Oryctolagus cuniculus: one gene and its partners. The protein of the gene in region 1 purifies or fractionates together with the protein of each later gene. This does not show direct contact. Links are inferred from orthologs where the notes say so. Each region holds a gene or a part of one and is shown in the gene's direction. Other genes may lie near its edges.

What was found.
Region 2: the proteins of KEAP1 (region 1) and SLK purify together in Homo sapiens (affinity purification with western blotting; 3 studies listed by BioGRID and IntAct, with this or other methods). This does not show direct contact. The link is inferred for Oryctolagus cuniculus from reciprocal best matches to the Homo sapiens genes KEAP1 and SLK.
Region 3: the proteins of KEAP1 (region 1) and NIBAN2 purify together in Homo sapiens (affinity purification with mass spectrometry; 3 studies listed by BioGRID and IntAct, with this or other methods). This does not show direct contact. The link is inferred for Oryctolagus cuniculus from reciprocal best matches to the Homo sapiens genes KEAP1 and NIBAN2.
Region 4: the proteins of KEAP1 (region 1) and TSC22D4 purify together in Homo sapiens (affinity purification with mass spectrometry; 4 studies listed by BioGRID and IntAct, counting the BioPlex papers as one, with this or other methods). This does not show direct contact. The link is inferred for Oryctolagus cuniculus from reciprocal best matches to the Homo sapiens genes KEAP1 and TSC22D4.

What each region holds. Positions count from the first base shown.
Region 1 is NC_091447.1:66,949,441-66,956,970, forward strand, and holds the start of KEAP1 (kelch-like ECH-associated protein 1), read left to right. Parts: upstream 1-2,705; 5' UTR 2,706-2,946; intron 2,947-3,124; exon of another isoform or gene 3,125-3,344; intron 3,345-3,597; exon of another isoform or gene 3,598-4,123; intron 4,124-4,550; exon of another isoform or gene 4,551-4,572; 5' UTR 4,573-4,619; coding exon 4,620-5,258; intron 5,259-7,530. UniProt on the Homo sapiens protein: Substrate-specific adapter of a BCR (BTB-CUL3-RBX1) E3 ubiquitin ligase complex that regulates the response to oxidative stress by targeting NFE2L2/NRF2 for ubiquitination.
Region 2 is NC_091446.1:26,085,978-26,093,477, reverse strand, and holds the start of SLK (STE20-like serine/threonine-protein kinase), read left to right. Parts: upstream 1-2,953; 5' UTR 2,954-3,579; coding exon 3,580-3,729; intron 3,730-7,500. UniProt on the Homo sapiens protein: Mediates apoptosis and actin stress fiber dissolution.
Region 3 is NC_091432.1:231,054,149-231,061,800, reverse strand, and holds the start of NIBAN2 (protein Niban 2), read left to right. Parts: upstream 1-3,105; 5' UTR 3,106-3,241; coding exon 3,242-3,296; intron 3,297-7,652. UniProt on the Homo sapiens protein: May play a role in apoptosis suppression. May promote melanoma cell invasion in vitro.
Region 4 is NC_091450.1:42,684,400-42,691,787, reverse strand, and holds the start of TSC22D4 (TSC22 domain family protein 4), read left to right. Parts: upstream 1-2,841; 5' UTR 2,842-3,317; intron 3,318-3,718; 5' UTR 3,719-3,978; coding exon 3,979-4,740; intron 4,741-6,921; coding exon 6,922-7,088; intron 7,089-7,388.

The sequences.
Region 1 (7,530 bases):
AGCAGCAGAGGACGGCCCAAGTGCTTGGCCACCTGCCACTCATGTGGGAGACCCGGATGGAGTTCCAGGCTCCTCGTTTTGGCCTGGCCCAGTCACGGCTGTTGTGGGCACTGGGAGAATGAACCAACAGGTGGAAGATCTCTCTTTCTCTCTGTCTCTCCATCTGTCACTCTGCCTTTCCAATAAATAAAAATAAATCTAAACATACAATTAAAAAGCACCCAGTTCCCCTTTTGAATGGACATCAGTGTTGGGGTTCCCAGAGAAACTTCCAGAACTGTTCTGTGGCTGAATCTGCCGAGATGTAAATGCACCTGCTGTCTTCTTCACCCGCGCCCTCCGCTTTGCTCACTCCTCTTCAGCGTCTCTCGGGGGACTGTCCCCCAGCCACACGTCTGCACTGTGTTCCCGCCCTGGTCGGCTTGGTTTGCCAAGACAGATGTCATACCTGGGTGGCTTGACCACAGAGATGTATTCCTCTCGGATCTGGGAGCCGGATGGGCCCGGATCAGGGTGCCGGCATGGCTGTGTTCCGGTCAGGGCCCTCTGCTTGGCTGGCTGGCGTCTGCCTTCCTACTGCGCCCTCACGAGGCGGAGCGAGCTCTCTGGTGTCTGTCGCGATGCCACTTTGTGTATTTTAAAATGTTTATCTGTTTGTTTGAGAGGCAGAGAGAGGATGGGAGAGAGAGAGGATGGGAGAGAGAGGGAGAGAGAGAGAGAGGGAGAGAGAGGGAGAGAGACCGTCCATGCTCTGGTTCACTCCCCAAGTGCCCACAACGGCTGGGACCCGGCCATGCCGAAGCTGGAAGCCGGGAGGAACTCAGTTCCTGTCTCCCAAGGTCCACACTGGCAGGAAGCTGGGGTCAAAGATGGAGCCACGGGGCCGGCGTTGTGGGGTAGGGGGCAGAGCCAACGCTGGCATCCCCTGTGGCACCGGTTCAAGTCCCAGCTGCTCCACTTCCACTCCAGCTCCCTGCTGATGGCCTGGGAGGCAGCAGATGACAGCCCAGGTACTTGGGCCCCTGCCACCCACATGGGAGACCTGGATGAAGCTCCTGGCTTTGACCTGGCTCGACCCTGGCCGTTGGCGCCATCTGGGGAATGAACCAGCAGATGAAAGATCTCTACTTCTGTCTCTCTGTTACTCTGGCTTTCAAATAAATAAATCAATCTTTTCAATCTTTTTTTTTTTTTTTTTTTTTTTGACAGGCAGAGTGGACAGTGAGAGAGAGAGAGAGAGACAGAGAGAAAGGTCTTCCTTTGCCGTTGGTTCACCCTCCAATGGCTGCTGCGGCCGGCGCTGTGCTGATCTGAAGCCAGGAGCCAGGTGCTTCTCCTGGTCTCCCATGGGGTACAGGGCCCAAGCACTTGGGCCATCCTCCACTGCACTCCCGGGCCACAGCAGAGAGCTGGCCTGGAAGAGGAGCAACCGGGACAGAATCCGGCGCCCCGACCGGGACTAGAACCCCGTGTGCCGGCGCCGCAAGGCGGAGGATTAGCCTAGTGAGCCGCGGCACCAGCCGTCAAATAAATAAATAAATCTTAAGAAGAAGAGGAGGAGGACGAGGAAGAGGAGGGGGAGCCACGTGCAGCAGTGTGGACACGGGCATCTTAATGTGGGTCACTCTCCAGACGCAACATCCACGCTGGGCCAGGCTGAAGCCAGGAGTCAGGAACTCCATCCTTGTCTCTCCCGTGGGTGGCAGGGGCTCCAGTCCTTGGGCCACGCCTGCAGCCTTCCCACACTGGTCGCAGGAAGGTGGGTTGGAAGCGCAGGCACTCTGATATGGGTTGCCGATGTGCCAGATGGCGCTTACTTCCACGTGCCCCAACACCAGCCCCTGCCACTTCGTACCAAGCCCACGGAGCATCACGCAGGTTGCTACAATTCTTTGCCACAACAGACCTCATATTGCAGTAAGACTGTGCACATAACACTTTTTTGCACGCTTGTGAATGTCTCTTGGGTACATCTCTACAGGCAGCACGGCTGGCCCACGGGGCCTGCAGGTTTGGTTTGGAGAGATGTCAGAGGCTGTGGGTTACAGTCACGGCTGGAGCGCCCCCCTCGGGAGCTTCCCGGAACTGCAGCTTCACACAGCCCAGTGTGGGGAGCGCTCCACCCCAGCCCGGTTCAACCCCAGACCCAGAGCCCGAACATCAAAAGCCCCCAGATTTCACGTCGGAGACTCCAGCAACCCTGTTCTTAGACAAACATCTCCTCGGCCTGTCCACTTTTCAAACTTGAAATGCGTCTGTTGAAAAGTTAACTTCATGTCATCAAGAGCAACCGTGCCGAGAAAAATTAGCAATAGCGCTTTTGTCCTCGCCATCACGGAACGTGGAAGAAACTAAGGTTCTGTGGGCGCAGAGTTAGCAGCAGGCGGGTCGGGGGTTCGAATCCCCGCAGGTGGGTTCCATGCATAACTGAAAAATAAAGACAACAGGAACCCAGCTAGGCAGGTGGCTCCAGCGGGCATGCACTGTGTGGATAAGAAGAACAGGTGTCGCGCACAGCAGCCCCAGGGACGAAACCTGCCCAGATGGAAGGGACGGTGCGAGAGGGGTGCGAGACCTGCCCGCCCCGCCGGCCTTGCACCCTTGCGGGACGCCGGGTCCCTCGCGAAGGCACCTGCGGGGAAAGAGGCGGGGAATCGCAGCTCCTTCCCCGCCGCGCCCTCCGCGCCTTCTCCCCGCCTCCTTCCCGGGAGTCCGGAGGCCACCCCCCACCCGACGTCTGCGACCCCGCTGGCCACGCCGCCCCGGAGCCGAGGCCCCCCCATAGGCGGCGGGGGCGCCCTCGGGTCCCCAGTAGCAAAGTTAGGGCCGAAGCCACCCCGCGCAGAGCCGCGGCTCCCCACCCACCACCCCGCCTCGGGCTTCCCGGAAGCGTGGCGCGCGGGTGGCACCATCGTGCCCCGTGCCTCCCCACCCCGTGGGACGGAGGTGAGTGAACCCCGGCAGGGGTGGCGGCGAATCCCGGGGCGCGGAACGGGGCCTCGAACTCGGGGCTCCGACGCCCCACGCGGCCGAACGGAGCCGCGATCCCCCGCCCCGCCGTGGCTGGCGCTGTGGTCGCTGCTGCGCCGGGGCTGCGCAACCCGGCGACCGCGGGCGGGGGTTGGGGGCGCGGCCTGGGGCCTGTCCACGCCGCCCGGGGCCAGGAGCCGCGGCGCACCGAGCGTGGGGTGGGGGGGTGGCGGACTTTTATTCTGACATGGCCGGCGCCGCGCTCTGCTTAGTCATGGTGACCTACGCGCGCTCCGCGCCTCCCCCCGGCGCGCAGCGATGGAGGCGCCCGGGCTCCGGCGGCGGAGGCGGAGCCGCAGCGCGACCATGGCGGGGTGAGTGAGGCGGCCTGTGCCCAGGCTGCGGGCGCCGCGGGCCTCGGGCGCCCCGGCGACCATGGCCGGGGGCCGCGGGAATGGGAGCGCGGGGCCCTGGGGCCGCCTCCGAGTTCCCGGAGGCCCCGGGAGGGCGCGGCCGGGGTCCGATCGTTTTGTTGGACGGCGCCACTGCCGGGGCGGCCGGAGAGGCACGGAAGCCGGGAGTGAGACGCAGGGGGGGAGCGCACGCAGACGAAAGCCCGGGGATCCCGGGGCGTTGGCGACGGCTGGGTGCGCGCTGCGGCCTTGGCTGCCAAGAGGCCGCGGCGGGGTCACTTCCTCGCTTCTCCAAGGCCTTGGTGGCGGCTCAGGCGGGGCATGCGCAGTCCCCCACTTGTCGCTTCGCGGCGGGGGGGAAGTGCTTGGTGCCCAGGGGCACCGTTGACCGATTGGCCAAAGATCCAGAGGCCAGCCCGGGGCCTCGCATGGGGAGAGGGGGCCGAGCGGCGCGCCGGGCAGGGTGGAGGAGGGCGGCTCTGGCAGGCACCGTGGCGTGGGCAGCCGGCCAGCCACTGGCTCCTGCGCAGTGCCAGGCCGCGGGCGGGACGCGGGGACACACAGGAGAGGGTGGCCCCAGCGCTGGCCTGCAGGGGGCTCCCTGCCCCCTTGAAGCTCCGCGGTGGAGTTTGGGGGGGGGGCGAGAACGAGGCGACGTTGGGCTGAGCCCCAGAGCTTGGGAGCGCCTTGCAGGTGCCGCGGATTTCAAAACGTGACTCAAGCCCTGGCCCTCAGCCTCTGTGAGTCTCTCAGCTCCTGACCGGACCTTGCTGCTCCCTGCGCCCCAGCGCCAACCTCACCTTCCCAGAGGGGTGTGGGCCAGGACACCACAGTGCCTGGGACACAGCAGGCGCTCAATAGATGTTGCAGGGCTGAGCGAAAGAATGAACTTGACATGACTGGGGAAGGGAGGAGGTAGCTGGATGGCTGGATGGAGTGAGCTGGAGAGAAGTGGGTGGACAAGAGCTGACTATCCTGCCAGCTGTTGAGGGGTCCTGTGTGGTTTTGGGGGTGGGGGCAGGATCTGGGTGGACCCCTGGGTGGGCACGGCCAGGAGAAGGTGGGGAGCTCCACCGGACCCCACCTCACCAGGTTTGCTTTGGGAATGGCTCTGTCTTACGAAAGAGGGCCTGGCAGGTGCTGGCCTGACCCCTGCCCTGCCCCCAGCCCTGTGCTCTCCCTCCTCCAGGCCCCTGAGTGTCCGTGGCGGCGTGATCCCTTGTCACTTGGAACCTCATGCAGCCGGAAGCCGAGCCTAGCGGGGCGGAGGCCTGCAGCCGATTCCTGCCCCAGCAGTCACAGCGCCCCGAGGGGGCGGGGGACGCCATGATGTTCGCCTCCACCGAGTGCAAGGCCGAGGTGACGCCCTCCCAGCATGGCAACCGCACCTTCAGCTACACGCTGGAGGACCACACCAAGCAGGCCTTCGGGATCATGAATGAGCTGCGGCTCAGCCAGCAGCTGTGTGACGTCACGCTGCAGGTCAAGTACGAGGACACGCCGGCCGCCCAGTTCATGGCCCACAAGGTGGTGCTGGCCTCGTCCAGCCCGGTCTTCAAGGCCATGTTCACCAACGGGCTGCGGGAGCAGGGCATGGAGGTGGTGTCCATCGAGGGCATCCACCCCCAGGTCATGGAGCGGCTCATTGAGTTCGCCTACACGGCGTCCATCTCCATGGGCGAGAAGTGCGTGCTGCACGTCATGAACGGTGCCGTCATGTACCAGATCGACAGCGTCGTCCGCGCCTGCAGCGACTTCCTGGTGCAGCAGCTGGACCCCAGCAACGCCATCGGCATCGCCAACTTCGCCGAGCAGATCGGCTGCGCCGAGCTGCACCAGCGCGCCCGCGAGTACATCTACATGCACTTCGGGGAGGTGAGCCGGGAGGCGGGAGGGCTTGGCACGGAGGGGCGCGCCCCAGGGCGTGATCCCCGTGAGACGCCAAGGGGGAGCCGGGGAGGATCGAGGGCCCTGGCCACACATCTGACCACCAGGACAGTGACCCTGGTTTCCCTGGGGTCAAAGGTAGGGGCAGAAGGCAGTGACCGTGACCACGGCCAAGCGCTGGTCAGCAGTTCCTTCCAGGACAGCGAAGACAGGCTGCTGGCTGCCCTGACCCTGGTCCTTGTTCTCTTTAGTGCCCACAACCTTGTTATCGTGCAGGGTTTGGTTTCGTTTTTGTTTCTCCGTGGAGGAAGTTGTCAAAGAGAAAATAACTCAAGGGTTTTGTTATTATTATTTTTTTTTCCAAAAGGCACTGTCCTAAGCCCTAGTTCTGAGGTTGCATCTCTTGGATGCCAGGCGCAGCCGGAATGTCCATGATCTGACTTTCCAGATTCAAAACACTCCAGAATCCGAAACTTTTCCGAGCAGTGACGCGATGCCACCAGTGGGAAGTTCCGCTAAAAACCATGCATGAAGTCACCTTCAGGGCCTGTGTGTACCCAGGAGTCTCCCAGAACGTCACAGGGATACGTGTTAGGGAAAAACCGGGCATGGATTTCAAAATATTTTTTTTTTATTTGACAGGTAGAGTTAGTGAGAGAGAGAGACAGAGAGAAAGGTCTTCCTTCCGTTGGTTCACCCCCAAATGGTCACTATGCGCCAGGAGCGCTGCGCCGATCCGAAGCCAGGAGCCAAGTGCAGGGCCCAAGCACTTGGGCCATCCTCCATTGCCCTCCCAGGCCACAGCAGAGAGCTGGACTGGAAGAGGGGCAACCAGGACTACAACCCGGCACCCATATGGGATGCTGGCGCCGCAGGCAGAGGATTAACCAAGTGAGCCACGGCACCGGCCCCGATTTCAAAATATTTTTGCACCAAAATAAGCTTATCTTTTAAACCCAGCCCCCCCCCCAAACTTTTGGAAGAACACCTGTATAAGCGAATTTGGTGTTCACACGCGGGTCCCATCCCTAAGTTTCCTTGCTGTGTACACGCAGATATCCCAAAACCCACAAAAGAATCCAAATCTCAAACACTTAAAAATTTTACATTATTTACTTGAAATGGAGAGTTACAGAGAGAAGAGAGAGAGAGAGAGGAGAGTGATCTTTTGTCCACTGCTTCACTCCCCAAATGGCCCCAACGGCCAGGGCTGGACCAGGCCAAAGCCAGGAACCAGGAGCTCCATCCGGGTCTCCCACGTGGGTACAGGGGCCCAACACTTGGCCCATCCCCTGCTGCTTTCCCAGGCGCATTTGCAGGGAGCCAGATGGGACCTGCTTGTCTGGGACGCCTGCGTTAACCTGCTGGGTCCCAGTGCTGTGCCCTCCCGGCCAGCACTTCTCTTCCTAAGCACTTGGGGTGAGGTGCTCAGCGCATGGTCTGCGTGACTGCCCCGCTGTGGCTCACTGACTCAGCCCAGCCGTCCTGGGAGGAAGTGTGGCGCGTGGCTGCGCAAGCAGGGCTGTGTCCCTGGCCCCAGGTCTGAGGGAGTCCCCGGCCTTGGAGAATGCATCCCAGACATTCTCTACGTCTTCTTCTGGCGCCTGGGACTGGTTGGGGGGCCTCTACCCTGGTCTTGTTTTCTCTCCTGCACTCCGTTACACGCGGGGTTGGCCAGATAACCCCAAGGAGAATTAGCTCTGGGGTTCTTGGCGTCCACAGGGTGGGCCAGTAAGCAGGTGCCTCCCATTCAACTGTACTGTGTTTCTTCCTTGGGACTGCGTGAGCCTGGGTTACCAGAAACAAAAGTGTTCATAAAAACAGGTGCCCTGATTTGTCTGGGCCCTGACTTGGCTACTCATGCAATCCCCATTTCACAGAGGAGAACAAATAAGGCCTGAGGGCGTTTCAGAAGTTTTCCCAAGGTCACCGCTAAAAAGTCATGGGACCAGGCTGGCGCCGCTGCTCACTAGGCTAATCCTCCACCTTGTGGCGCTGGCACACCGGGTTCTAGTCCCGGTCGAGGTGCCGGATTCTGTCCCGGTTGCCCCTCTTCCAGGCCAGCTCTCTGCTGTGTCCAGGGAGTGCAGTGGAGGATGGCCCAGGTGCTTGGGCCCTGCACTCCATGGGAGACCAGGAGAAGCACCTGGCTCCTGGCTTTGGATCGGTGCAGTGCACTGGCTGTAGTGGCCATTTGGGGGGTGAGCCAATGGAAGGAAGACCTTTCTCTCTGTCTCTCTCTCTCTCACTGTCCATTCTG
Region 2 (7,500 bases), on another chromosome or scaffold:
TCTTGTTCACCAGGATCTTTCATTTAGATTGTTTTTTGCCACCATGTCATGGCTTCCCATGCCTGTGAGACTCTTATGGATCTTTTAGCTAGATCCAAATGTCCCAAGGGTTGATTCTGAGGCCAAGTGCTGTTTTGGGCGTTTGCCATTCTATGAGTCTGCTGTGTGTCCTGCTTCCCCCGCAGGATCATTCTCTCCCTTTTAATTCTATCCTTCATTATTTGCTTACACTGGTCTTATTTGTGAAATCTCTTCAACACTTACCCTATCTTTTTGATCGGTTGTGTATTTATACTTATCACTTTACCAAGTGCGCTGGCATTGGTACCTGCCTCCTTGGTAAGATTGAGTTGAAATCCCCTGGCACATTTCTAGTTCCACCATTGGAGGTAAGTCTGAGTGAGCATGTGCCGACCTATATATCTCCTCCCTCTCTTATTCCCACTCCTTTGTTTAACAGAGATCACTTTTCTGTTAATTTTAAATGCCTAAGAATGATGCCAAATTTATTATTTTATTAAAAGGGGAACCTTTTCTGAGATTCATTTGTTTCCATAATATATGAAAAAAGCTGAGACTATTTATTAATGGTATCAATTTAACTGTGCCTTGCTAGTGACTTTTTAAAAATAAGATTTATTTATTTTGAAAGGCAGAGTTACAGAGAAAGAGAGAGAGAGAGAGATCTTCCATCCACTGATTCACTCACATCAGCTTCAATAGCTATGGCTGAGCCAGGCTGCAGCTGGGAGCCAGCAGCCAGGAACTCCATCCTGTTCTCCCAGGTAGGTGGCAGGGGTCCAGGTACTTGCATCATCTTCCACTGCTTTCTCTGGGCACAGTAGCAGGGAGCTAGATCAGAAGTGGAGGAACTTGGATTTGAGCTGGCACTCATACAGGAGACTGGTCCTGATATCCCAGGTGGTAGCTTAACCACTGCCCTATAATGCTGGCTACTGCTAGTGACTTAATGACAACTCTAAGCAGGGTTGATATACAGACAGCTGTCTATATTTCTTGCATACAGTTTGATGCGTTTGGAAATGGTATTCATTCATGAAATCATCAATGTCATAAACATGTCCATTGTACAGGCCTGACTATTAACAATGGTTAGGTTGGGGGTGAATTTGAGTGGGGGCAAGGCAGGAGAGGAAAATTACAGTTTCTGAGTTTGTAATTCCTGTATCTGAATTATTAACAACAATGATACACAATCTTTTTTTTTTTTTTTTTTTAAGATTTATCCATTTATTTGAAAGTCGAGGAGAAAGATCTCCCATCTGCTGGTTCACTCCCCAAATGGCCCAATGACCAGGGCTGGGCCAGGCTGAAGTCAGGAACCAGGAATGTCATCTGGGTTTCCCTTGTGGGTGCTGGGACCCAAGGACTTGAGTCATTTTCCGCTGCTTTCCTGGGCACATTAGCAAGAAGCTTGATCAGAAATGGAATAATTGGGTCTCAAAGCAGTGCCCATATGGGGTGCTGGTGCTGCAAATGATGGCTTAACCTGTTGTGCCACAGCACCAGTCCTGATACACAATCTTTCAACATGAGAACATAGTAGTCTTTTCTATTTTGAAAAGAACAAAAAAGGAAACAGACATACACCCTTTGGCCCAAATCTCTTTCTGGTGATTTATCTCAAGGAAATAATCAAGCATGTATAAAAGGATTTTGTATGCAAAGATATTTATTAATGTTTTATTTAAAATAAAGATTATAAATATCTCATGATGCAAGAGAGAATAATTACTAATTGTACTGGAATCTGAAAAGTAATCTCATTCATGTAAAAAAAAAAAGCATGGCCAAAAAAACCTGTTTGGAAATTTAATGAACTCTTTCCAATGGCTACCTCTGGACGGTGGAATTCCACTACTCTTGTATTTGATTTCTTTTTTGCATTTCTCTATTTTCTTCATAAATGATACCAATTAAAGCAGATTAATATTGCTTTCACGTGTGTGCACAAATGTACAGCCTATTGTATATCAATTATACCTTAATAAAAACTTAAAAAGTAGAAGGATCATGAGAAACCGAATCATATTAAGCTTCCTCCTGGAAGAGGGGTTTTGCTGTAACATGTAGGGGCTGGAGGGTAAAATGGTCGGGGAGGGGTGGTAGGTGGGTATTATATAAACAGCAGCAACCCTGCCTTGCTGGATACCTCCACTCACGCATCAGCCAGACCCGTCTGCCTCTCCCACGCCAGGACGTCTCCCGCGACTCGGTCACCTTGCTGAACAAGCAGCCACTGCCCCGAAAGTGCGACCGGAGGCGAGGAGGGCAGGTCACCTTCTGGCCGATTGCAGACGATGCCGGTACGGCCCCAGCCGGGCAGCACCGTCCCAGGCTGGACGTGCCATCCGGCGGGCGGCGGAGAGCCCCCCCAGACATCCCTGGAGCAGTGGGCTCGAGCAACTGTTCTAGGTCCGTGTCAGCTGTGAGACCACGAGCTTGTGCCGGTGCCTCACTGAGCCCTCGCTGCCACCTCCAGGCAGGCGCCGTGAGGAAACTGAGGCAAGGGGGCGTCACCTGCTCCAGGCCACAGGGCTCCGGCTCCCAAGCCAAGGCTCACAGCGCCACCCACACTCTCCTCTCACTATCCTCTGGAATCAATTTAAGAGCTAAAAACAAAGCCCACTTCCCGGCTCCACTCAGGAAGCCTGAGCTTTCATTCTTGACAGTTTTTCCCACATCCAGCACCGAGGCAACATCCGCCAGCGTCGCAACGCGGGGGCCACTACGAACAAAGCCAGAGGCTGACGAGGATTCGGGGTTCGCAGGGCCAGCGCCGGGCCCGCCTCGGGGGACCGCAGGGAACCAGGGCCCGCCGCACTCGGCTCACCAACACTTCGGCGCCGCCAGCCTGCGCGGGCCAACGCGCGTGCGCGGGGCTCAAGGGGCCGCCCCTGCGCGGGCGCGCGGCGGGGGAACGCGCGGGCACGCTGCGGAGTCGGCGTCGGCGTCGGCGCGCGCTCCAGGCCGCGGCTGTGTGGGCTGGGGAGGGAGCGAGGCGGAGGTGGCGGCGCCCCAGAGCTGAGGGGACGCGCGGGCCTCGCGCCGCAGGAATAGAGACGGCTGCGAAGGAGGCCCGAGGCTCGCTGCCCGCGGCCGGGGAGCTTGGCCTCTCGCGCGCTCGTCTCAGCGGCTGCCGGCCGCTTCCCTCGCCCCGAGTGGCCGCCGCCCCTGGAGACTCGTCGTGACACGGGCCTAAGCCGCCGCGGCTGCGGGCGTGCAGACCCGCCGGGCGCCGTCGGGCCGGGCCGGGACCGGGTGGACGGGCGTCCGCACAGGTGCAGCCCCCGCGGGCCGGCCGGGGGCCAGGCGCCCCATCGCGCGGCGGGCGGGCGGGCGAGCCGGGCTCGGCGCAGGGCGCCCCCCCTCGCCGCGGGCCGGAGCCCCGGGCGCTGCCCCGCCCTCTCCGGGGACGGCCCGGCCGGAGCCGCGGGAGCCGGAGACCCCGCGCCGCCGCCCGTCCGCCGGGCTCGCGCGGAGAAGGAGGCGGAGAAACTTTGCCTTTTATTGTTGTTTCTAGTCCTTAAGTGCAAGGAACTCTGTGGGGGAGGAAAAATGTCCTTCTTCAATTTCCGTAAGATCTTCAAGTTGGGGAGCGAGAAGAAGAAGAAGCAGTACGAGCACGTGAAGAGGGACCTGAACCCCGAGGAGTTTTGGGAAATCATAGGCGAGCTGGGCGACGGAGCCTTCGGGAAAGTGTACAAGGTAAGAGGGAGACGACGGGAAGTGGCCTGGGAGATAGAGCAGCCGCTGGCCCAGGGGCACGGGGGCTTCACGCTGCGGCGACCCTTTCCTGCCTCCTTTTTGACTTCGCGGCCAGGCGCTGGAACTTTCTTTAGCCGACCATCCAAGGAGTCGCTTAGACCGGGGGCTTAAGGATTCAACAGAATGGGGCTTGGATGGAGTTTATCGAGGGGACCGGGTTATTCCTGCTTCTCTGTCAAACTCCAAGGAAATGAGAGTTCCGTAATTTACAGGAGGGGTCTGGCCATGGGCCTCCAATGATCTTACAGTGGGACACTCGTTACCTTTTTTAGTGGATTTTTGTTTGGTTCCTGTTTGCATTTCTCTTTTTAGGGTCCAGGGCATACATTAGGCTGTAGCTATAGCTAGTATATAGCCCATCTCCTGGGATCAGAGCCAGGTGATAGCTACTTGGTCTGTCCTTGAGTGGTTGCTTGACAACATCGCATAAAATGGAATGGAATCTCTTAGAAAATTTCCAGAAGAGAAAACTTGCATCTGGTGCTAGTTTCTAAATATAATTATAGTAAGCTTTGACTAGATGTCAATACCAAAGCCTAAGGATAAAGCATTGTATGTATACATATTATTTCTATAGAAAGATTTGGCATTTTAACCTGAAGGCATTCATGTGAACCGTTTACTGTCTGCTAAGGAGCATTTGAGTGATGTCATTGGAATATTTTCATCTTGAAGGGTAAGGCTTTTATGAGACACAGTTTAGGGGAAGGACCAACAGTGTTGCCTAGAAGTGAAAACATAAATAAGTAACTTGGTTTTTTTTTTATAGGAAGTTTGCCGTTTGTTAAGTACTTTCAGGTAATTGACTTTTCCAAAAATCTGGTGAGGTGGACAGGTCAGTAGTAGTAGCCACCTTTCACATCTGAGGACACTGAGATTAACAAGTTATTCATACAAGTCAAGTTTTGACTTGAACTCAGATCTTCTGACTTCATTTATATATATATTTTTACTTTAACATCAATTGGTAGAAGTGGCAGCATTTTCCTTGCTTTGTAAGCAGCATTACCTTTGACTTTACTCTGCCACAAATGCATCTTGTTCCTTATGCGCTCTCCTCTCTATGTGCTTTCAAGACACATTGTTCATAATTGTCGCATTATAGTTAGTGTGTTTGTATTTCTGTAACGAAAGCATTATGATGTTCATCTGGGTTTAACCATTGCCTTAGCACATAGCATATCTCTGTTGAAGTGCAAGATTGTTCTCATGTGAATGCTATTGAAGTTCATGTCTGCAAAGTGGGCCTCAGTGTTTGGGTGGACGGCTGGGTATGGTTTCAGCAAGAGCTTACTGTGTGAGATGTGTGTAGGAAGGGCTTTTAGTGCAGAGCGAAGATCTCTTCTGGGAGTCGAGTTGTGTGTTAGTGTTGGCTGTCACTTAGCTTCTCTGCCCCTTTGTTTTCTTGGCTGTGAAGTTCCAAGTTTTCCTAAATGTTTGTTTAGACCCCTTAACCTATTAACGTTCCGTGAGTATGCAGTTAGCTGGGAAAGGCAAAACAAATCCTCAAGGCATCTGGCATCCTGTAGTTTGAAAGCAGCAGGTGATTTCATGTTTTCATGGTGCAAATATGTTGTTTTATCAAATATAAACAGCTGAGTATTAAGGGCAGTGGCTCTTGAGTCAACATTTCTCGGCTCCCTCTCTCCATAGTAGTGTGTGACCTTGGGCAGGTTACTGACAAGTTCTATGCCTGACTGTCCTCATCAGTAAGGCCTGCCACTCAGTATGTTAGGATTAAAGGAGATAATAAATATAAGTCACACAGAAAGGGCTTAATAAGTGGTAGACGTTACTGTTAACATTTGGAATTCATAGAAGTAAAATATGGGATGGGACAGGAAAAGGTACTAAACAGGAAACCATTTCCTTAGTTTCCCATGGCAGGGGCAGGTTGTGTGAGCTATCAGTACTTCTGTGGTTTATTCTGTAGTGACCGTTTCTGCAAAGTTAATGTCTATGGTAAAAATGGAAAGTTTTCTGAAAATTAACAACTTCATGTGGTTAAACACTAATTGTTTCAGGGATAATTTCTGTGGGCTTACTGACTGTGTTTTAGGATGATATTTCAAGAATCTGAGTTCCTTGCATCTTTTTTCATTTCATTACTCCAGGCTTCTAAGGAATAGAGTGTAAAAAATTTTTTTAAAAGAAAACTTAAACTTTATACTTATCTGACCTATTTGGGCCTAAAAACTTTGCCTCTAAATTTTTGCTTTTCAAGATTCCCTAGAAATTATAAAGTTACTGACTTCTTTCTATGTGGGGAAAAGTTATCAAACTTTAACATTTTATGTAGTAGTATGCAGTAGAAAACTACTTCTAAACTTCTAATCATTTGTTTGTGGAAATTGGTAACTCACAAAGATTACATTGTAAATAGGTATTCATTTTTCCAGCACAGTTGTATTCCTTCCTCTTAGTCCAACATTATAAATACATCTCTAACATAATTACTTCCTTGCCTGAAAAATCTTTGCTATTTTACTTTTGTTTTCTGTTTAATATGGTATTATTTAACATATATATGAAGCTATGGAATATCCCTCACAATTTTCTATTTTTGGATTTCTGTTTTTAACAGAAAAAAGGGAATGACATAAAATTATTTAATGAATTGCATTTTTGGACAGCTGATGTTTTCTGTTAAACCAGTTGAAGCTGAACTCCAGGTTGTGTGTTGGATGCAGATTTTTTTTTTTTTTTTAATTTGACAGGTACAGTTATAGACAGAGACAGACAGAAAGGTCTTCTTTCTGTTGGTTCACTCCCCAAATGGCCGCCACGGCCGGCACTAGGTGCTTCTTCCTGGTCTCCCATGTGGGTGCAGGGGCCCAAACACTTGGGCCATCCTCCACTGCCTTCCCAGGCCACAGCAGAGAGCTGGACTGGAAGAGGAGCAACTGGGACTAGAACCGGCGCCCATATGTGATGCCGGCGCCACAGGCAGGGATTAACCAAATGAGCCATGGCGCCGCCCCAACAGATGGTTTTCTTTCTTTCTTTTTTTTTTTTTTTTTAATTTGACAGAGTTAGAGAGAGGGACTACAGAGAGAAAGTTCTTCCTTCTGTTGGTTCACCCCCCAAATGGCCGCTACGGCCGGAGCTACGCCAATCCAAGCCAGGAGCTTTTCCTGGTCTCCCACGTGGGTGCAGGCGCCCAAGCACTTGGGCCATCCTCCACTGCCTTCCCGGACCACAGCAGAGACTGGACTGGAAGAGGAGCAACCGGGACTAGAACCAGCGCCCATGTGGGATGCTGGCGCCGCAGGCAGAGGATTAACCAAGTGAGCCTCGGTGCTGGCCCCAGATGGTTCTTTTTTGACAACTGATGAGTGTATGCCTTTTAAGAAATGGTGAAATGTGGCTGATGCCACGGCTCACTAGGCTAATCCTCCGTCTTGCGGCACCGGCACACTGGGTTCTAGTCCCGGTCGGGGCACCAGATTCTGTCCCGGTTGCCCCTCTTCCAGGCCAGCTCTCTGCTGTGGCCTGGGAGTGCAGTGGAGGATGGCCCAAGTGCTTGGGCCCTGTTACTTGCATGGGAGACCAGGAGAAGCACCTGGCTCCTGGCTTCGGATCAGCGCCATGCGCCAGCCGTGGCAGCCATTGGAGGGTGAACCAATGGCAAAGGGAGACCTTTCTTTCTGTCTCTCTCTCTCACTGTCCACTCTGCCTGTCCAAAAAAAAAAATTGGTGAAATGTATGATC
Region 3 (7,652 bases), on another chromosome or scaffold:
CGGCACCGCGGGGCGAGGCAGGGCCCCTCCTCCTTCCTGCAGGGCGAGGAAGGGATCTTGGCCTAGGCCCTGCTGAACCTTCAGGGGCAAATCCCTTCCCGTCTCTGGGCCTTGGTCCAAGGCCTGGCTGCAGCCCTCGGCGGGCGCCGTGCCTCTCCCAGGCAGCTACCCTTCTTCACCTTTGAGTCCCTGGTTCCAGATGTGCCGAGGGTGGAGGCCGCTGGGCAGAAGCCACTTCCTGACCAAGGACTGATGACTCAGGGGCTGTAGGTGGCATCCCTGTTCAGGAGGGGCAGGCCCGGCAGGTGAGCCTGGTGAACCGATAGGGCCCCGCCTCCCCTCCTCCCCAACCCTGCTGTGGGCCTGCAAGGGGGCCTGAGAGCCTGGTGGGTGGGGACCCCAGAGAAGCAGCAGAGACTCCCTCCAAATCCTTTGCCTTGCCCAGCTGGCCTATTCTTGCTGTAGAAAGAATTCTTACAAATTAATAAGAAAAAAAAAACAACACATTCCAATAACCAAGCAGGCAGAGGGTGTGAATTAAAAGAAAACCACAAAGGACCCATAAATATGTGAAAAGCACGCATCACAGTGGCCTCGAGCAGGGCGAGCGCTCCCCACGTCCTCGGCCCAGAAACCCTCCCCTGTCTGCCTGGAACCCTTCGTGGCGCTGATGGCTGTGCTTGGTTTTCTTTGCTAAAAATAAGACAAGCAAAAAACCCTTCACTCCCCTCCCACCCAAAGACCATAGCTGGCCTGATTTATTAGCACGTAGTAGAGAGCTGAGAACTTTTAAATAACTTTACAGTCTTCCCAGAAAAAAAGTCATAAATGTCAGTCCTGGACACGCAATTTACCAACCCACCAGGAAGTCAGCCCCAGCGCTGTGGCCTGGGGCCGCACCGACTCATCTCCCTCGCCTGACACGCCCTATCCTAGAGCCTCAGTATGGGTTCCTGTGTGCAGCCAATGCAATGTATATTATGTAAATTTTTATTTATTTGGAAGGCAAAGAGATGGGGAGGGGAAAGAGACAGATAGGCAGACGGACAGTGAAATCTTCCAACCACTGGTTCACGCCCCAAATGCCTGCAACAGCCAGGCTGAATCAGGCCAGAGCCAAGAGCCTGGGACTCCATTCAGGTCTCTCTCTTGTGGGTGACAGGGACCCAAGCCCTTGAGCCATCACTTGCCACCTTTCAGGGTGAGCATTAGCAAGAAGGTAGAGCTAGAAGCAGAACCAGGACTTGAACCCAGGCTCTCCGATATGGGATGTGCACATTCCAACTGATGGATTCACTGCTATACCAACCTGTCCTAGAATATCATTCTAAAAATCCTTGCAGCAATTTAGTCAAGTGTAACATAGACATGGCCGGGGCTGGCGCTGTGGCGTAGCGGGTAAAGCTGCTGCCTGCAGTGCCGGCATCCCATATGGGTGCAGTTTGAGTCCCAGCTGCTCCACTTCTGATCCAGCTCTCTGCTGTGGCCTGGGAAAGCAGTAGAAGATGGCCCAAGTGCTTGGGCCCCTGCACCTGCGTGGGAGACCCAGAAGAAACTCCTGGCTCTGGATCAGTACAGCTCTGGCCGTTGTACCCTCTGGGGAGTGAACCAGCAGATGGAAGACCTCTCTCTCTCTCTCTCTCTTTCCCCCCGCCTCTGCCCATTCTGGGTGCCCTGTGAAAGCTTCCTGCTCTTCAAAGCCAGCCCTGTGCCCGCTGTGCCCACACCCAGGAATGCTGCTCTCCAGGATCTGCTGTCAGAAGCTTTGCCTCTACTCCCGCCTCAAGAGGGTCCCCTATACTCCTGGGGCAGGGACCGCGACGCAGAGTGGAGGGACAGGTTCATTTATCGAGAGGACCACCCTGTGCCTGCGATCTCATCTAATCCTCCCAGCAATGCCTGCTGCCCTCGTCTGACCGAGGAGGACACTGAGTTCAAAGAGGCACGGCCACTTGTCCAGGGCCCTCGAGGGCAGGCAGCGTGGACTTCCTGGCCTGTCCACCCCTGGTGTCTTGTGGCTCCTAGACAGGTGTCAATCATGTGAGTGGTAAGGGAGTGAGTGCCTGCATCGCTAACTGGTGCCAGAGCTCCCTCCCCTGGTGCTGGCAGGCCTGAAGCATAGGTGGTCTGTGCTGGCCAGTGCCAGGATCACCACTTTCTGCCTCAGGTCACGGTGAGAGCCAAGAACCGTCCCAGAGCGGGGTGGGGTGCGCAGAGAAGTGGTGAGGTCCCACTCACCCCGAGTAACCAAGGGGCTGCTGTTGGGGTGCAGGAGAGGAGATGTGGGCCTCAGCACCCCTGCAAAGCTTCTGCCACCCCAACTCACGTCCAGGGGTCTGGCATGTCGGCTGTTAACCTGACTCCCATGCCAGCCTGGAAAACACTTCTCCTCTGCTCCTGTGACCCGGCCGTGCCCAGCCCTACAGGCCAGGACCCAAAGTCCACGCCTGCTCCAGATGGTGTCTCCTAAACTGTAAAGTGCCACTACTATCTGCTCTGACTCCCTGAACTGCCCATTCGCCGGGTCTGCTTGGCAACTGGGGTCCTGCACCTTTGGACCCGAGCCCTCCTCATTCTCCCCCACACCCCCCCCCCCCGCCGCCGCCCCGTCCTTCCTTCCCACCCCCCACCCCCGTAACTATTGTGCAAGACAGGCCGGCACACCTGGGCAGGTAGGATCAAGGCCAAGGATTTCCTGAGCGCGGGCGGCAGCGGGTAGGCGGGGGCAGGGCGCAGGGCGCGGAGAGAGCGGGAGGAGCCGGGCGCGGATTCCTGCGCGACGGCCTGTCCCCCACGTCCTCCGAAGCAGGGAGTCTCTCGTCTGGTGCAGGGAGGGGTGACACCCAGGCTAGCTCTCCCCGGGGCACCCCCGGGTCTCTCGGATACCCCCACCAGCTCCATCTCGTGCTGGGCTCGGGCCGGACGCGGGGCTCTGCGCCCGTCTCTCCCGACTCCCTCTCTGGGACCTTCCCTTTGTCTGCGACTCCCGGGCGGTCCCCGCGTCCCGGGCCCTGCGCCCCGCCCGCGCGCGGCCAGGAGGGGGCGGTGCCCGGGCCGGGGGCGGGGCCTGGTGGGGCGGGGCGGGGCGGGGCGCTGGGTCTGGGCCCGAGCCGGAGCGGAGGCCGCAGCCGGGGCGGCGGGAGCGGCGGGAGCGGGGTGGCCGGGCTCCATGGCGCCAGCGGTGTCCGCCTGAGAGCGCGCAGCGGCGAACGGCCAGAGCGGGCCGCGGCTCTTCCTCGCCATGGGGGACGTGCTGTCCACGCACCTGGACGACGCCCGGCGCCAGCACATCGCAGGTGAGCGACGCGGGGTTCGGCCGCGAGCCCCGGGCCACGCCCCCACCGCGGCCCGCCGAGCTCGCCGCCGGGGCGGGGGTCTCGACCGAGGCCTGGGGCGGCACGGGAGCTGGTGGGGACCGGGTCCCGCGTCCGACCTTGTTCTCTCCGAATCTGAGCGCCACTTCCCGCCCGCGTCGGAGCCTCTCCTTCCCCCTCTTGAGGGAACTCGTTCCCCCTTGCCCTCAGAACCCGGCCCCGGAGGACATCCCCCCAACCCACTACCCCAGGTCCAGCTGTGGCAGGGGTCGTCGCCTGCCCCCCCCCCAACTCCGGATGTCCGGCCCAGGCTCATTCCAAGCCCACCCTCTGTCCTCTTTGGAGTCCTGCACAGCCAGCGCGTCCTGACCATCCCCCCAGCTGTCTCGGTCCCTAACTTGCCCTGGCCCAGTACACGTGGCTGAGGCTTCCAGGGGCTGGGCCTGTTAGGAAAGTCGGGGTGCACTGGAGAGGGTGGGGCCCCTGCCCTGGCCCAGACACAGGAGGGTGCTCCTTCAGACAGTCCTGCCCAGCCCAGGTTTCTCAGAGGGGCAGCTGTCGCCAAGGCTCCTGGGCAAGGCTCCTGGACTCCTTCCCTGTCCCACCCCCCTCACTGCCCCAGTGCCTTGGGGAGGCGAGGTGGGATCTCAGACTGCCTGGAAGCAGCTCTGGCTGACCCCTCCCGGCTGCCCGTGGAGCCCTGGCATTTGTTTCCCAGATGTGTGATCTCGGACAAGTCTCTTAACGTGCCGGCGCCTTGGTTTTCTGTTCCCTGAAATGGGATCAGCGATGTCTTCCCTATGAGTGGGTCGGGGGACGACTTCAGTGAGCTCATTCCTGGCGCTTGCTCAGCACGGGGCCTGGCGCAGAAGGAGAACTGATCCATGGGGTGCTGGGCAGTGGGGGTTTGGGCACGGCCCGTGGAGACCGGAGGCAGTTCCTGTTGGTAGCACTTGCCTCTCCCTGTCCAGTGGGCCCTGGCCTGCGTGTCTGCCCTCACTGATTCCGTGTCCCTGGGGCATGTTCTCCACGCTCTCTTGAGATTAGGGACCCTTGAGAGCAGGGACCAGGTGTTCCTTCACCCCCTGTCCCTGGGTCCCAGGCCTGCTGGGCTCAGAGAAGGTGCTGGTGTGACCGCAGTCCTGGGCCTTTGGTTCCTCTTTGCTCCCGGCCTGGGGCTGGGCCCAGGGCTGGGGATCTGGCAGAAACGGGTCCGCCCCTGGGTAGCCTCTCACCAGTTGGGGGTTAAGTCCTGGAAAGCCTCCTTGGAGGACAAGGCCTGGTCTCTGGGAGGAGGAAGGGCCGGGGCGGAGTCTTCCTGTCCCCTCCCTGTTGGTGGCAAACTCCTGGGGCTCCATAACAGTCCCTCCATTCACAGCCTGCTGTCTGGGGCCCCTCACCCGGCCCGGGTGGGGTGTGACGGCCCGGGTGGGGTGTGGCGGCCCGGGTGGGGTGTGGCGGCCTTCTGTGGGGTTTTTCCTCCCCAGCCCGCCTTCTGGGCTGAGAACTGCCAGCCCTGTCCCCGTGGCCGTCTCTCAGGGGCGGGCACTGAGCCCGCACAAGGTGGAGTGTGAACTGGGAGAGCGGACTGGCCCTGTGGACGGGGCTGAGTGGGAGGGGGTGCCCCGGAACCTGCTGGCTCTGCTGGAAGCACTTCGGGGCTATTAATAACCCTCTTGGGATGCCACACATTCCAGGTGCAGGCTCACCTGAGGGGCTCCTGCCACGAAGAGGTGGGAGCGCCCTCCCTGTCTCCAGGAAGTGAACTTTGGAGATCTGGGTCGGAGGGGAATGGGGCGGGCGTGCCTCTGCCACCCCCAGCCACCCGTGCACCCTCTCGCCCCGCCCAGGGAGCACTGGGCGCCTTCAGAGGAGACAATCAGAAGACCAGAGCCCTCCATACCTGGAGCCTGGTTCTCCACCTGGGAGACGCCAGCCTTGGGAACCTCCCTTCCCACGGTGCCGGAGCTCCCAGGCCTGTTTGGGTTCTGCGGCTTGGCCCGCATTTGTGCCCGCCGCGAGCAGGTGAGCAGGTGGATGCCAGCCTGCAAGTCCTGGCAGAGGTCAGGCGCGCTCCTGCCCATGGTGCTGTTTTGCTGCCACGGCACCTTTCATCCCCGGGTTTCGGAGCCCCTGGCAAGCAGGGGCTTGTTCCCGCACCAGCAGCCCCACGGAGCTGGTGGCGAGCTGATTACCTACTAGGTACCTGCGGGGGCCTTCGTGGAGGAAGGCGCCATGGCCCTGGCGGCCCAGAGGCCTGCATATCCTCAGACTGGCGAGACAGGCAGGGGTGCGGTTTCCCTAGCTGCGAACCAAAGCATGGGTGCCCTGGATGGCTCTGCGGGCCTGGGGATCCCGAATTTCCCTATTGAACCCCCCCTCCCCACACCAGGTCCAGACACAGCCTGCTGGCAAGGTGACCTTGGGCCCTATCTTAACCCAGGTTTTCTTATCTGTAAAATGGGAATAATAACAGTGGCTCTCTGCTAGGCACTGTGGGGGAGGATTTGATGAGATAAGGCGGGTAGGAAGCTCAGCCCAGCAGCTGGCCAGGGACTGCCTCACAGACAGGTGCTGTGGGTACCGGGGCTGTCCTTAACCTTCTGGTGGGGGCTCCAAGTGGGCAAGGAGATCCACCCATGTTTGGGGTCCGGAGGAGACCGCTGTAGCTGTGGTTTGGGCCCTGTTTCTCTGGGGGTGGTCTGGGGCCAGGGCGCAGCCTTTTTTTTTTTTTTTTTTTTTTTAAGATTTGTTTATTTGTTTGAGTTACATATAAAGAGGAAGAGAGAGAGAGAGAGAGAGAGAGAGAGAGAGAGAGATCCTCCATGTGCTGGTTCACTCTCCAAATGGCTGCAACGGCCGGAGCTGGGCCAGGCTGAAGCCAGGAGTTGGAAGCTTCACCCACATTGGTGCAGGGACGCAGGCACATTAGTGGGGAGCTGAATCGGAAGCCGAGAAGCCCGGTCTCAAACCTGGATGTCGGCGTGCAGATGGCGGCTTTACCGGCTACGCCACGGCGCCAGCCCCCAGAGTGCAGCCTTGAATCCTCCCGTGTTTCCTGAAGCCTTGGTCCCTGTGTTCCTTCCGTCTTGGTGATGGATGAGGGCTGTTGAGGGGGTCTGGAGGGTGGGTAGTGGTAGGACTCGGGCAGGTGGCTGGGAGGAGAAAGTGGAAGTGCCTGGGCCCCCAGGTGGGTTCTGAGCGTTACTGGGTTAGCTGCACGTGGCCTGAGCCACAGAAACCAGGATGTAATAGGTGAGGGATGCGGGGTGCTGTGGCCCCGGCAGGAAGCTTGGCTCTGGCTGGGGTGGGGTGGGGATCCCCCTTCTGTCTCTAGAAAGCTTGGGGCGCCTCGATCCTTGCCGGCCTTGTTAGCTGAGAGTGCTGGGAGGGAGTGGGCCAGTCCCTGCCCTCCTCTGCCCCTCCCTGAGGCGGGGCTCACCTTTCCCTCTGGCTTGTTGTTGTTGTTTTAAGTAGCAGCTTTGTTGAGACAAACCTCATCTACGCAAAACCCACCCACTGCAAGGGTGCACCTCAGTAGTTTTCAGGGTATTTACGGTCTCATGCTGGTGCTACCACCCTTGGCAGTAACCCCTGTGTCCCCCATGTCATCCCATGTCCTCCCATGTCCAGGCAGCTGCCACCACCTGTGCCTAATTGCAGGAGTAGTGCACTCCCCGGAAGAAATCACTCAGCTTTGGGGTGTCACCGTTTCCATACACACCTCTCTGTGTCTATACTAATATCGCTTTGTTTATTTATTTATGATTTATTTATTTTATTTGGAAGGCAGAGAGAGAGAGAGAGAGGTCTTCCATCTGCTGGTTCACTCCCAAGATGGCCGCAACAGTCGGAGCTGCGCCGATCTGAAGCCAGGAGCCAGGAGCTTCTTCTGGGTCTCCCACATGGGTGCAGGGACCCAAGGACTTGGGCCATCTTCTACTGCTCTTCCCAGGCCACAGCAGGGAGCTGGATCAGAAGTGGAAGTCGAGCCGGGACTCGAACCAGCGCCCACGTGGGATGCTGGCACTGTAGGCGGTGGCTTTACCTGCTACACCACAGCGCCGGCCCCTCGCTTTGTTTATAATAAGAGGCCCTGTTCCACATTCTATGGCTTGATGTTTTTTGCTGGGCAGTTCTTCCCAGGGCAGGACTCAGTCCACCTCATTCCTTTGTGGATTCCTTTCTGTGCCTGGGGCCGTGTGTTTACCCAGTCCCCTGTTAGTGGACAGTTGCGTTGTGTCCAGGGTTTTGCCAGCATTCTCTGTGCTGTGTGAGCTTCCTCAGGCTGACGTGCCGCTCTGAGAGTGGCCTCGCAAGAGAACCTTGGGAGTGTTC
Region 4 (7,388 bases), on another chromosome or scaffold:
GGCCTGGGATGGCAGTGGAGGATGGCCCAAGCGTTTGTGCCCCTGCACCCACCTGGGAGGCCTGGAGGAAGCTCTTGGCTCCTGGCTTTGGATTGGCATAGCTCCAGCCGTTGCTGAGGAGTGAACCAGCAAAAGGAGGACACCTCTCTCTCTACCTCTCTCTGTGACTCTTTCAAATAAATAAAATAAATCTTTAAAAATATTTATTTAGCCGGCGCCGCGGCTCACTAGGCTAATCCTCCGCCTAGCGGTGCCGGCACACCAGGTTCTAGTCCTGGTCGGGGCGCCGGATTCTGTCCCGGTTGCCCCTCTTCCAGGCCAGCCCTCTGCTGTGGCCAGGGAGTGCAGTGGAGGATGGCCCAGGTGCTTGGGCCCTGCACCCCATGGGAGACCAGGAAAAGCACCTGGCTCCTGGCTCCTGCCATCGGATCAGCGCGGTGCGCCGGCCGCAGCGCGCCGGCCGCGGCAGCCATTGGAGGGTGAACCAACGGCAAAGGAAGACCTTTCTCTCTGTCTCTCTCTATCACTGTCCACTCTGCCTGTCAAAAAAAATTTATTTATTTATTTATTTATTTGAGAGGCAGAATTACAGAGGGAGGGAGAGACATAAAGGTCTTCCATCCACTGGTTCACTCCCCAAATGGCTGTAACAACTGCAGCTGGGCTGATCTGAACCCAGGAGCCAGGAGTTTCTTCGGGGTCTCTCTCGTGGGTGCAGGAGCCCAAGCACTTGGGCCATCTTCCATTTCCAGGCCATGAGCAGGGACTTGAAACAGTGCCCATATGGGATGAGGGTGCTGCAGGCCGAAGTTTAACCTACTACACCACAGGACCGGCTCCCCCCACCCCATTTTTTCTTTTTTTTTTTTATTTCCATGGCAACAGTCTCTCTCAGAATGTTGGCGAAGTGTACCAAAGAAAGAGAAAATGGCAGTTGGAGGTCTGTTCTTTTAAAATATTTATTTATTTAGGCCGGTGCTGTGGCTCAATAGGCTAATCCTCTGCCTGGGGCATCGGCACACCAGGTTCTAGTCCCGGTCGGGGCACCGGATTCTGTCCCAGCTGCCCCTCTTCCAGTCCAGCTCTCTGCTGTGGCCTGGGAGTGCAGTGGAGGATGGTCCAAGTGCTTGGGCCCTGCACCCCATGGGAGACCAGGAGAAGCACCTGGCTTCTGGCTTCGGATCAGCGAGGTGCACCGGCCGCAGCGTGCCGGCTGCAGCGGCCTTTGGAGGGTGAACCAACGGTAAAGGAAGACCTTTCTCCCTGTCTCTCTCTCTCACTATCTAACTCTGCCTGTCAATAAATAAATAAATAAAATATTTATTTATTTATTTGAAAGGCAGAATTAGGGAGAGGGAGAGACAGAAAGAGAAAGAGAGCAAGCAAGCTTCCATCTACTGATTCACTCCCCAAATACCCAAAATAGTTGGAGCTGAGCCAGGCCAAAGTCAGGAACTGCATCTGGGTCTTCCACCCAGGTGAGAAGGGCCCAAGCAATTGAGCCATCTTCCACTGCTTTAGCAGGTGCATTAGCAGGGAGCTGGATCAGAAGCAGAGGAGCCGAGACTTGAACTGGTGCTCTTATGGGATACCTGCAAAGCAAGCAGTGGCTTCACCACTGCCCCAGTGTGTTCTTTCATGCCAAGTGCATAGCAGGCTTTTCATTAGTTTGTGTGAATTGTCCTTCTTAGTAAGCACTGGATGCAGCGGGAGAGCTAGGGAAAGGGGCCCTGCTTGTGGCTGCTGGGGTTGGTCCTCAGGTGCACCTGTGTGGGTAAGTGGATATTCCTGCGTGTCCAGTGTCTGGAGAGAAAGTGAAAGTCAGCCTCCTGTCTGCAAGTCCTAATGTGTTTCTCGTTCCACACAAAGAGCTGAGTGTGGGGTCAGCACTGGGGCGCAGCAGATTAATGCTCTGCCTGTGCCGTCCGCATCCCATATGGCCACCGGTTCTAGTCCCGGCTGCTCCTCTTCCAGTCCAGCTCTCTGCTATGGCCTGGGAAAGCAGTAGAAGATGGCCCAAGTCCTTGGGTCCGTGCACCCGTGTAGGAGACCCAGAAGAAGCTCCTGGCTCCTGGCTTTGGTTGTGGCCATTTGGGGAGTGAACCAGCGGATAGAAGACCTCTCTCTCTGCCTCTCCCTCTCAATCTCTGCAACTCTGCCTCTCAAATAAATAAATAGAAAAGAGCTGAGTGTGTGGAATGTCTCTGCTGTACGAATGACAGCCTTTTCCAAACTCTCTGGTCTCAATTTTCACATCCAAGTAGTTCAGTAATATGATGTCCAGGATTTCTGATACAGGACATTGGGGGTAGGGATGGGAGAAGGCGGGCTAGGAGTTGCTAATCGCTGAACCCACTTGCTAAGTACCTGGGTGGTCACTATTCAGTTTTGTTGGAAGTTTTTCATAATAATCCACTTTTTCAGATAAGGAGTGGGGGAAATAATAGTCCCTTCCTCTTTCAAAGAAGCTGTGACAATGACAGTCACAGCCGCGCCGGCACGTTTAAGTCAGGCACTTCTGGGCAGCCGGGCACCCCGCACGGGCCTGGTCCGCTCCTGGGCGCGCGTCCGCAGGCCAATGGCAGCCAGCTGCCTGCAAGTAAGGGAATCCCTGGTCTCTCGGCGAACTCCGCCCCTTTCTCCCCGCCCTCGAAGCCCCGCCCTCCGAGGAAGCGCCGGGCCGGGGCCCAGCAGGTGTGGGGTTAAGGGAGCCCGTCTGGGGCCCCAGGAGCAGAAGCAACTGCAAGAGCGGCGGCTGTGGCGGGCCTGGCCCGGGGCCAGCTGGCGGGGAGCCCCAGGAGGGAGGAGGGGGGAGGAAGAGGGGAAGGAGGAGGAGGAGGAGGAGGAGAGGAGCAGTCAGCAGGCCCGAGGAGGCAGGACTTCCTGGTGTGGGGGTTGTCAACAGCCCCGAAAGAGAAAGACAGACGAGACTGAGAGCAGCCGAGGAGCGGAGACAGGTCCAGCGGGACCACGCGGGAGGAGGTGTGCGAGACCCGCTCGCCGGGACCACCGAGGCCGGCTGCCGCCTGGAGCCGCGGGGGGCTGAGCCGCACCCTCCCACAGCTATCGGGAGACCTCGGGCTTCGGAGGCGGCTCCTGGGCTCCGCCGAGGGGGCGCAGACTCCTTTTCTGGAGCGAAAACTTTCCACGGAGATGCCTCGCAGGGGGAGGTGCGGCCCCCGAACAGGACTGGGCTGCCCCTGACCGCCGCCTGCGTGCCCCGCGCCACCCCGGGGCCAGGAGGCCCCCGGGAAAAGACAGCCCAACACCTTGGGCGCCGGGACCCCCACGGTCAGCTCGGTGGCCGAGACCGAGAGGTAAGGCCCCCGGACTGGGCGTGGCGCGGCGCGGCGCTTGGGGCGCGGGCAGGGCCTGCCCCTGGGATGTGGGAACCGGGGTGCGGGGTGCCTGGAGGAGGCCCAGCAGAGTCCGCCAAGCGGCCTGGAGGTGCCGCCTCACCCTGGTTCACCCAGGACCTGGAGCCGGTGCGCTCAGGACAAACTGGGTCCCCTGAGTTTGAATCCCAGGCCAGAAATGCCCAAGTCTGTGTGCCCCACGCCGTGCTCTCTGGCCTCCCCTGCCTGTCTCTTTGTCTCTGGGTCTCTGGCGATTTCCCCTTCCTCTCCAATTCTGCTCCCCAGAGAGGAAGCCCCGGAGGTGGCCTGCCCACTGCTTTCTCACACACGCGCGCGCACCCGCGCTCTCTCTCTCTTTCCAGTTTGCAAACTCAGCTCTGGAGTTCGGCGGCGGCAGCAGGAAAAACCTGCCCCTGCTCCCCCCTCCCGCCACCTCCCCTACCCTGTTCTGTCATCAGCCGGGCACCCCCAGTTCCCACAAGGCCCTTTGGCCATGTCGGACCCAGATGTTCCCAGGGGCCCTGATGCCCCCGCAATGTGGCCCCCCTGTTCTAGGGGTGCCTGAGCCCCTTCAAAGAGCCCCAGTCCCCCAACCTCAGCCCAGTCCTGAGTTCCGGGGACCATGAGTGGAGGCAAAAAGAAGAGTAGTTTCCAGATCACCAGCGTCACCACGGACTACGAGGGCCCAGGGAGCCCCGGCGGCTCCGATCCCCCTGCCCCACCGGCCCCTGCGGGGCCCCCGCCCCGCCTCCCCAACGGGGAGCCCAACCCCGACCCAGGGGGCAAGAGCACCCCCCGGAATGGCTCCCCACCGCCTGGGGCCCCTGCCTCCCGCTTCCGGGTGGTGAAGCTGCCCCACGGCTTGGGAGAGCCTTATCGCCGAGGTCGTTGGACGTGTGTGGATGTTTACGAGCGAGACCTGGAGCCCCCCAGCTTCGGCCGGCTCCTGGAGGGGATCCGGGGAGCCTCGGGGGGCACTGGGGGTCGATCTCTGGATTCCAGGTTGGAGCTGGCCAGCTTGGGCCTGGGCGCCCCTATCCCACAGCCAGGCCTGTCTCAGGGCCCCACCTCCTGGCTGCGTCCGCCCCCCAGCTCCCCTGGACCTCAGGCCCGCTCCCTCACCGGCGGGCTGGGCCAGCTGTCGGTGCCCGGCAAGGCCAAGGTGGAGACACCCCTCCTGGCGGCCTCCCCACCGCAGCAGCGCCTCCCAGAGCCTGGGACTGGGGATAGCGCCGGCACATCCCTGGCTCCCGTGCCCCTGCCCTCCCTAAGGGTGGAAGTGGAGGCTGGGGGCCCGGCGGCAGGGACCCCTCCAGCGTCCCGAAGGAAAGATGGAGCCCTGCGACTGAGGATGGAGTTGGTTGCTCCAGAGGAGGCTGGACAGGTAAGAGCCAGGTTCCAGGTTGGGGGAGACTCCTGAGGGCCCTGCTCAGGCATCTCAGTCGGAGCCTCACCGCCATGCTCCCCTCCCCCGCCACTGTCATCTGTCTCATCCGTGGCACCTCTTTTCTCTCTCTGCCGTCGCACTTTGCTGTCCTTTGCTTTCTCCCTGGGGCTCCTCTTCCCTGCAAGCTACACCTTCTTTCTCTGTGGCCTTTAATTTGTTGCCTTTGGCTCTTGCCCTGTCTCCATATAGCCTTTAGCTACAATGGTCTGCTCACTTTGGTCACCACCTTCTGTCTTGGGGTCTCACTCCCTCTGGCTCCAGGTAATGAGGGTGGAGGCCCCGGGCTGGGTGACTCGGCCCCTGGTCGAGGAGTTGCCAGGGTTTGGGGCGGGGGGAGGCTCAGGGGGCAAAAGGTGGGATTTCTGCTCTCAACCTCTCCACGCAGCTCCATCCTAAGCGCGGGGTCTTCTCTCTGCCAGTGCCCAGCCCAGGCTCATCTCCACCCTTGCTGCAAGCCATGTTTCTCTGAGGCACTGAGGAACTGGGTGGATGGGGCACTGGACGGGATGGGGGGCTCGCCTCACCCCTGGTGGGGGGGTCTGTCTTGGTTCCTGCCTCTGTCCCCTCTGGGGTTGATAACAAGGGGTGGCCACCGTGGCGTGGGAGAGAGGCGGGAAGCAGCAGAGGAGGAGTTAAGTCCTGTGCGTTCTGCTTCCTGTCTCCAAAAGAGGAACAAGTCTGGGCTGGGGGCAGGATGCCTGGGTCCCTGGGGTGGGGGTGGGCAGCCAGGAATGTGGGGTTGGATGCTTCTGTTCTGCAGGAGAAAATAACACCTTGGACTGCGGGGTGAGGGGGAAGGCCTGGAGGGTGAGGATGAGAATGTTTCCCCCTTCCTGGCCTTGGGCACAAACCACAGTATAAAAATAACCTGAGACTGGATGTCTGGGTCCTGTCAGGACCGGTCAGGACTGGCTCCCCCACCCCCTCCTGGCCTCAAGCTCATGGCTCTCATGACCCCCCCCCCCTTGCTTGAGCCTTTCCCTCAGTTTGGACCCCAGAGAGAAGATGCTGCGCCCCCAACCCCACCCCATCCTTGTCCCCAGCCTCTTGGAACGATTGCAAGCCCCCTTTGCCCTCTCCTTCTGTAAGCTCTGCCTGTGCTTCCCTGGGGTCCGTGGACCCTGCCCCTGGTGCCACAGTGCCCTCTACCCTCTTCCTTCCGCCACGGCCTGATCACTTCCTGTGTGCAGGCGCCTGAGTCCCTATTTCTTTTCTATCTGCAGCCTCCCCCAACCCTTCAGCCTCAGCTGCCTCCCACAGAGGCTGGAGGTGAGGGGGGGGGCAAGGGGGCACCACCTGGGCCCCCTTCCTCTGCTCTGTCCCGCTAAGCAGCCTGAACTCTCTGTTCTTGGCTCTTCCAAGAAACTGGGGCCTCCCGGGGCCTCACAGAGGCGTCTTGTCTTGTTCCTCTCACCCCCGCCCTATTGCAGCCGCCCCCAGCGCCTGTTGGGCTGTGTGGGTCCACGCCCAGGCTCCGCCTCCCCCCTCATCTGCACACCCCTACCCCCCACCCCACCCCAGCCCAAGCAGGGCAGAGAGCAGAAGCGGAGTTTCACCTGGTGGGGCCCAAGGAGTCCCAGAGGAGACCTCCAGTGGGGGTTGGAGGGCTGCTTTCTGAGGATCCATTCATTCTACAAATAGCGCTGAGCAAACTCGTCTTCTCGCAGGGGCGACACAATAAATACTTTAATTTCAGATAATGTTAGGTGCTATAAAAAAAAGTGAAACAGTTCTATGCACTGTGAGTGATGGGGAGATGCTGCTCCGAGGAGGCGACATGTGGGTGGCTCTCGGCAGACAGGTGACAGAGAGCAGCTGCTTTGTGGGTAGCCTCTGCGTGGCGGGCCTGGCTCAGGGGGAACAGGGCTCCTGAGATGCAGACCAGAGCCCCTCTCTGATCGTCTGGGAGCCCCTCACCCCAGTCCTCAGGGTGATGGCCTTCTCCTTGCCTCTGGTGCTTGCCCAAGGTCTTTACCAGGGCTGGAGGAGGGAAGGGCTTTTGGGTCCTTGGAAGAGAAGGGCAGGAGGTGGGAAGGGAAGAAGAAAACGGTGCCAGTTCTGAGGCGGCTGGCTCCTTTCTCTCTCTCAATGTGATGGCTCCCACCTCTCTGCCTCCAGGTGCCCCCACACGACTCTCGTCCCAGCTCCCCGGCCCTCTACTTCTTCCCCGATGCCAGTCTGGTTCACAAGTCTCCAGACCCCTTTGGAGCCGCAGCAGCCCAGAGCCTCAGCCTGGCCCGCTCCATGTTGGCCATCAGTGGGCACCTGGACAGCGATGACGATAGGTAGGTGGGCTCCCCACCAGCACCTGGGACGGCTGCGTGACGCTACCCGAGTTGAAGGGGACCTGTTAAATAGAGACCTAGCCTGGGCATAACCGCTGTGCACACTTGATCTGGGACCCACTCCCTCCTGGTGGAGAGGGCTGGGTGGGACTCCCTGGCTTAGGACTGTCAAGTCAGACTTTTTTTAGAATCTGAAGGGACTCATTGTTGTCAAATTCCAGAGCTCTTGCAGATTTAGAGACCATCTGGCCAACCCAGGGAGCCCACTGGCAAACGTGCCCCAGTCCCATCTCCCTCTGC